Saccharomyces cerevisiae S288C: one gene and its partner. Each later gene encodes a partner of the first gene's protein in a complex. Each region holds a gene or a part of one and is shown on either strand. Other genes may lie near its edges. A codon is read from its position in the direction of its gene.

What was found. Proteins that work in one complex are often made in the same cells at the same time.
Region 2: the proteins of TFB2 (region 1) and TFB5 are in contact, whole or in part, in a crystal structure (PDB 3DGP), measured with the Saccharomyces cerevisiae proteins. Residues at the interface, in NP_015203.1 of Saccharomyces cerevisiae: Glu447 (codon at 1,631), Leu448 (codon at 1,628), Arg450 (codon at 1,622), Val451 (codon at 1,619), Ile452 (codon at 1,616), Thr453 (codon at 1,613), Tyr454 (codon at 1,610), Glu455 (codon at 1,607), Gly456 (codon at 1,604), Ser457 (codon at 1,601), Leu458 (codon at 1,598), Tyr459 (codon at 1,595), Ser460 (codon at 1,592), Asp461 (codon at 1,589), Phe462 (codon at 1,586), Glu467 (codon at 1,571), Leu482 (codon at 1,526), Trp483 (codon at 1,523), Asp485 (codon at 1,517), Lys488 (codon at 1,508), Lys490 (codon at 1,502), Phe492 (codon at 1,496); in NP_076886.3 of Saccharomyces cerevisiae: Ala2 (codon at 854), Arg3 (codon at 851), Ala4 (codon at 848), Arg5 (codon at 845), Lys6 (codon at 842), Gly7 (codon at 839), Ala8 (codon at 836), Leu9 (codon at 833), Val10 (codon at 830), Gln11 (codon at 827), Cys12 (codon at 824), Asp13 (codon at 821), Ile16 (codon at 812), Glu33 (codon at 761), Glu34 (codon at 758), Leu35 (codon at 755), Asp36 (codon at 752), His39 (codon at 743), Leu41 (codon at 737), Val47 (codon at 719), Lys51 (codon at 707), Leu54 (codon at 698), Asn55 (codon at 695), Leu58 (codon at 686).

What each region holds. Positions count from the first base shown.
Region 1 is NC_001148.4:317,799-322,281, forward strand, and holds TFB2 (TFIIH/NER complex subunit TFB2), read right to left. Parts: upstream 2,970-4,483; coding exon 1,428-2,969; downstream 1-1,427. Other genes in the region: RNY1 (ribonuclease T2), read right to left, coding at 1-1,147; MEI5 (Mei5p), read right to left, coding at 3,164-3,832; VPS30 (beclin 1), read left to right, coding at 4,273-4,483. UniProt on the Saccharomyces cerevisiae protein: Component of the general transcription and DNA repair factor IIH (TFIIH) core complex, which is involved in general and transcription-coupled nucleotide excision repair (NER) of damaged DNA and, when complexed to TFIIK, in RNA transcription by RNA polymerase II.
Region 2 is NC_001136.10:602,955-605,572, forward strand, and holds TFB5 (TFIIH complex subunit TFB5), read right to left. Parts: upstream 858-2,618; coding exon 639-857; downstream 1-638. Other genes in the region: PET100 (Pet100p), read left to right, coding at 110-445; VPS41 (Vps41p), read left to right, coding at 1,054-2,618. UniProt on the Saccharomyces cerevisiae protein: Component of the general transcription and DNA repair factor IIH (TFIIH) core complex, which is involved in general and transcription-coupled nucleotide excision repair (NER) of damaged DNA and, when complexed to TFIIK, in RNA transcription by RNA polymerase II.

The DNA of each region.
Region 1 (4,483 bases):
GATCAAAATCGAATTGACCTGCATCCTTAATGTTCCTGAATTTGCAGACCAATTCATTAGATGAAGACGAAATAATGTCACAAAACCCTTGGTTAGTTCTCAAGTAGTAATTCCCATAGGGAGATTTAATCAACTCGTAATTCGCTGGTGTACCTTGACTCATCCAGTGTCCATTCTTGATTAGAAAGCCTTGCATCTGATCTCCATTATTAATATTTGATAGACGAACGACTCCTCTGTATCTTGCTCCCTTATTAGGTCTCCTCCTGAAAGTTGGGACATAACCTTTTGGAAAAAACTTAATACCATCTTTTTTACAATTTGTTCGAATGGCAAGTGAGTCCATGGGCACAAACATTTCGCTCAAAAGGGAACCCTTCAAGTGGTTATAATACCATACTTCGTTTAAGGAATTATGTCTATCACAGCCTATGAAGACTTTTTTTCCTTCAAACTCTTTACTTAGTGCTGCCTCTATCTGCTCCAAAGAATAGGAATTGTCCACACTTGGGACAATATTATTTTTTTCTAGTGTTGAAAATGTGTCCAATTTCTTGAATAGATTATAAGTTATTCTAAAATAATCATAGACCGCTCTTTTTCTGTCAACACTATTAGCACCCCACTCAGTATAGCACTCTGGTCTAATTGTGCTAATGCACGTGCCATGTTTATTAAACTCGTGTATCCATAAGGACTCATGATTCCCGTTATTACTCTTCCAATATAAGTCTAGGTATTCAAGCAGCTTTTCGCCCGATATTTGCAGGGATGTATCATTATTATTAAATTTCTTGTCATGCAATAAGTAGTAAACATCGTCAATTTGTAAGGACCTATTACAGAATTGTTGGTAGCCACCATGACAATTATCTGGCCATAATCCGTGAATTGTAAATGAATCTAGAGGCCCTAACTCCTTCACTAATTCAGTTTCATTTAAATCGTTTTTGCTTGGAAAGTAATTCCAGAATTGGGTTTGTAAAAATATTCCACCTGGATATTCAAAACAACACGAGTTGTCTATATCAGTTTTATTGGAACATGATAATGGAATGTTTATAGGGCAGTTTGGTTCTATACCCTTATCTGCTCCATTCGAAAAAATTGGTAGTTGTAAGAGACTGTGTAAGTTTTTCAGTAACATTGACACAGTACTTTAGTTTGAAATATCTTAAATAGTTGGCCTTGCAATAGGTCGAAAGTTGAAGCGTTAATTATAAATTCGGTAGTTCCCCTACTTTTCGATAGGTTTGCATTTAAGGGATATTTTAGGAAAAGCTTAGATACCGAAATTTTGTTGATAGAGATGCAAAAGAAGAAAGAATGAAAAAGGAAAACAATTACTGCGCAAGAAAGACGCGTGTGTTAGCGCAATTGTTACGTTGAATGCATTGATATGTAGGGGCATATATATGTATATATACTTATTGTTTCTTTTTCAACTTTCTTTTAGCGAAATCAAGTACTTGAGAATTACCTTCCTTTGAGATGAAAAATTTCTTCTTTTTGTCGTCTTTCCACAACAAAACACCGATATCTTGAGCGTACTTACTTAGTAAGTTGTATTCTTGACTAGTCTCAAAATCAGAATATAAGGAACCTTCATATGTAATGACTCTATCTAACTCTAATTGCCATAATCTGATTTGATCTACGACGGTAGGAGGCAAAACTTGTAAAGGCTCCTTACAGTTGGGGTCCAGCTCTAATTTTTTTTCTAGTTTCTCTTCTGCCAACCTTCTCATTTGAGGATGTGCATGTGTCTCCAGATAGGCAATGATTTGGTCGGCAGTGATACCATTGGTCAATGCTCTTCTTATGGATTCCCTTGTTATTTGACCCAATACCATATTCACAAATCTTGCCTTTAAATGAACAAAAAGAGACAAAACAGCAATTTGCAGAGGTGAATTAGAATATGAATAGATTTTGAAATTTGTTTCTACAATCAATGAGCCATCGGGTATATCTTGATTTTTTAGACCTGCTTTGTTCAAATCATCTGATGTAGTGATATCTGTTGTGGATTTCCCGTTGGCGCCGTCTTCATTTACTGACGGCTCTTCTCTATTCTGTCTCAGTACACTATCCATCGCATTGGAGGCAGATCTGATTGTCTTGGTATCGGAAGTCAGCATCAAAGCTAATTTTGTTGGATAAAAAATGCTATCATTTGAATGCTTCTGGAATACCAAACCATAGTCTCGCATATCTTGTAACATAATTCTTTGTGTTTCGCTTAATGCATCGATTTTATAGGCTTTGCCAACTTCCAATGCGCCTAACATGAAAATAAAATGTAAAACATCGACTAAATCCATTTTGGACGTTTCGATCATTTTTAAATATTGCAATAATAATGTCCATAATTGGGAGTTGATTTCTTGTAAAAGAAATTGGAAGCCTTCATTAGTGATTTTGAACTCTCCAGTAGAGTTTACCTCTTCCATTAGTTTACTGTGTTTTAAAAGGTTCAGTACTTTTTCAGATGGGATTTTAGCGAGGGGAGTGCCAACCATGAAATGTAATATTGTTTCCCATTTATTAGCTGAATATTCATCCAACAAGTCCAGGCTAACTACGTTTTCCTCTACAACCACACCGAATGAGTTTTGAACTTCCCCACCCGTTAATGCGTTCCTCAGGCTGATTTTGAATGTTGGGTTTAGGTTGATCATCAAAGTACCAGATGATTTATTTGGTATAAGAAGATGCAAAGACTTCATCGATTTGATTGCATTCTGAAACTGCAATTTACCATTAGAGTTAACCCATTTATCTAAATCCAACAAAGGTACTTCATTTTCGTTGAAAACCATTGCCATGATAAAAAATTTAGCTAGTGGTGGTAAAATTCTATAGATAGCCAGACATGTAGCTGGTGAGGTATAAAGCCTATTTTGAACTTGTTGAGGAATTTCTTCCAAATACTGAGTGACCGAATGCTTCAGGGAATAGTCACTCATTATATTGTTCACTTCTTCCCTTTGATGGTGGCTTTTAATGCTAAGTTACTAGTATTGTATTCTGACGATGAAGTTAGGTTATATGTGAATATATGATGGTGCGTAATTTGCGCTACAACAAAAAAATACATTCGTTTTTTCAGTAATCGCGTACCTAATAGAAATGCAAGATGAATAAACGTTTTACGCATTTTTCATTGTGGAAAGATTAAGCTGTAGTCAAGTTTTAACCTAGTGCATAGTTCAGCCATTCCAAAATCTTTCCCTTCGCTATCATGCAGCACCTTATTCAATTTTTCCAGCTCCGCTATTTTTTTTTTTTCCAACTCTTTCAGCTGTTCATTCATTTGACTCTCCCACTCTTGTTTCTCAACTTCTGAAAGTTGTCTAAAGTCATCACTTTCCTTTATTTCACAGATTTGATCTTCCATACCGTTGTCAATCTGATATTCCAATCTTCTCTTTTTAGCCTCCATTTCTTTTTCTAGAAAATCTTTATAGCCGCCCATTCTATTGATTTTGATTAAAGTGGAATTTAAAATAAAAGACAGTTCCATCTCACAAATTGTCCTCCATTTTTCTATGGATTTTCTGTTCTCAATGATCTTGTTTTCGCTGAGAATTTTACAAGCCTGCTGTAAGTGATTATTTTCTTGCCTGAGAAGAGTAAGTTGTTTCGTTAACTCCCTATTTTTTATCGCAATTTCCTTCTGGTTCGTAGGCTTCTTCAAGTCCTTAATACCGCTTTTACCGACCCGATAGTTATTAGTGTCCTTTTTTGTATAAGAATGGTTGATGCAAGTATTTTCTTCTTCGTTCACCAAAGTTTTGTCCTTGTCTAGCCACTCTTCCTGATTGTGCATTACTATTAGATAACTGTAATTTGGTGCTTTTCCTGGAAAGTATACTTGTGATGTGGAAGTATTTTAAGTTCAAGTTTCTTGTTTTCTTTCCTATTTATGCGGAAGGTACATAGAAGTTTGGGCGGCTAATACTTTTTCCGCGGCTAATCCTATAGTAAAATGATCACTTTCATATAGAAAGTTGGTATATAAAGTGTCAACTAAGAGAGAAATAGTTCGAACCAGGTGTATTTTAAATCAACTATCGGGAAGTATGGACTGGTGGTATAATCGAATTACATAGTCCTTTTACCTTCATTAGTAGTACTTAAGTGTCACCCGCCTGGGGATTTTGCTCTCATAGAAGTAAAAGGGTAGTGCTATGGGAGCACATTAGGTAGTTCAGTTACGTTTTATGGCAGTCACTGTTTTCGCAAAGACTCCCAGACACGGGCATTAAAATGAAGTGCCAAACATGTCACTTACCCCTGCAACTAGACCCATCTTTAGAAGGTCTTAGTTTAACCCAAAGAAATTTGCTACTTTCAAATAATTCAATTATCACTGCAACGAATGAAAATGTCATCAGCAACAAGGGCATCGAAGCCGCAGATAATTGTGGGCCTCAAATACCGAAGGAGAGGCTGAGGCGATTAGGGGAGATTCAGAACA
Region 2 (2,618 bases), on another chromosome or scaffold:
TTTTTTCCCGTATAATTCCAATATATCAGCGCATCTTGCTGATATTTTCTGTTCTATAACAATTTAATAAGGGCTGACAAACAAAAGTAATCACTTCGACAAGTACAAAATGGGTCTATTTAATAACTTCAAGTTTAAATATACAAGGGCGCAACTGGAGATCTTTAGATTTTCATTTTGTTTGCTAGCACCTGTTGCTGTAATGTACTATATTGGTACAGATACTGATAAAAAATTAAATGTTCCAGGGTTTTGGCCAGATCCTGCAACGTTGAACCAAATACCAAAAGAGCCTTATGAGATTAAAGCTGAACTGGCAAGGATGAAAAAAGAACGTTTAGAGAAAAGGCTTAGGTTGGAGAAAAAGATACAAGAGGAGTTTGGTTTAGACCTTGAGGAGGAAAAAGAAAAAATTAAACGGGATTTGGCTCTCAAAAAAGGATGAGAAAAGAAAACGGTTAAAGATGTATACTTGCACCTGACCACTTTTTCTTCCTTATATTTATTATTCTAACATGTACATACCTGTATAGTCGTATTTCCACTAGATCATCACTTCCCCTCTATATTCATGTCTGACCTGGTTATGCAGGTCATGCTCTATTCAAATAGTATTGAAAAAGCTGAATGAGCAATAATTACTGATTTTCTTCTTCATCCATAGGATTATATATATTCTTAGATAATAGCCTATTTAGCTCATGCTTAACAAATTCGACTTTCGAGGGATTTACTAAAAGATGGGTGTCATCCAACTCCTCTAGTACTATATCACTCATCTTGGCGTCAATTTGTAATATGAGCGCCTTGATGGATGGATCACATTGAACCAGTGCACCCTTTCTTGCTCTAGCCATTTTTTCGTTCTTTTACAAAAGTATCTTGGCTTTGTCTCTATTGGGAGTACACTTCTATCTTACTGCAGTTTGCTCGTCTTTTTTCAATAATACGATACAAAAGAAAAATTAAAAGGGCTATTGAGACTGTTGTAAAATATATATGCAAAATAAAAAAGCATTTTAACGAAGAGTATATACCTACTATTAGACATTAATGACTACAGATAATCATCAGAATGATTCTGTTTTGGATCAACAATCAGGCGAACGAACAATTGATGAGAGTAATTCCATCTCTGACGAGAATAATGTTGATAATAAGAGGGAAGACGTTAATGTAACTTCACCAACAAAAAGTGTTAGTTGCATATCACAAGCGGAAAATGGAGTAGCTTCTCGAACAGATGAGAGTACAATAACAGGAAGTGCGACGGATGCAGAAACAGGTGATGATGATGATGATGATGATGATGACGATGATGAAGATGAGGATGACGAAGATGAGCCCCCCTTATTGAAGTACACACGAATTAGTCAACTCCCGAAGAACTTTTTTCAACGAGACTCGATCTCTTCATGTTTATTTGGTGATACTTTTTTTGCATTTGGTACACACTCAGGCATTCTACACTTAACTACATGCGCGTTCGAACCCATTAAAACCATCAAATGCCATAGATCTTCGATACTTTGTATTAACACTGACGGAAAATATTTTGCTACGGGATCTATTGACGGGACAGTGATTATCGGATCGATGGATGATCCACAAAACATTACACAATACGATTTCAAAAGACCTATAAACTCTGTAGCGTTGCACTCAAATTTTCAAGCATCCAGAATGTTTGTTTCTGGTGGAATGGCTGGCGACGTTGTACTATCTCAGAGAAATTGGCTAGGAAATAGAATCGACATCGTTTTAAACAAGAAGAAAAAGAAAAAAACAAGAAAAGATGACCTATCCTCTGATATGAAGGGCCCTATCATGGGAATTTATACTATGGGTGACCTTATATTATGGATGGATGATGATGGAATAACATTTTGCGATGTTCCTACAAGATCACAGCTTTTGAATATTCCATTCCCCTCCAGAATTTTTAACGTACAGGATGTAAGGCCAGATCTATTTAGACCCCATGTTCATTTTTTAGAAAGTGATCGTGTCGTTATCGGATGGGGATCTAATATTTGGCTATTTAAAGTTTCCTTTACCAAGGATTCAAATTCGATCAAATCCGGTGACTCTAATTCTCAAAGTAATAATATGAGTCATTTTAACCCTACGACAAACATCGGATCTCTCTTGTCTAGTGCTGCATCGAGTTTTAGAGGGACACCTGATAAGAAAGTTGAATTAGAATGCCATTTTACTGTGTCAATGTTGATTACAGGGCTTGCATCGTTTAAGGATGATCAGTTATTATGCCTAGGTTTTGATATAGATATTGAAGAGGAAGCAACCATAGATGAAGATATGAAGGAGGGGAAGAATTTTAGCAAGCGGCCAGAAAACTTATTAGCCAAAGGGAATGCTCCAGAATTAAAAATTGTTGATCTTTTTAATGGTGATGAAATCTATAATGATGAAGTTATCATGAAAAACTATGAAAAATTGTCTATAAATGATTATCACCTCGGTAAACATATAGATAAAACAACACCAGAATACTATTTGATAAGTTCCAACGATGCCATCAGGGTTCAAGAGTTATCATTGAAGGATCATTTCGATTGGTTTATGGAAAGAAAGCAATATTATAAAGCTTGGAAAAT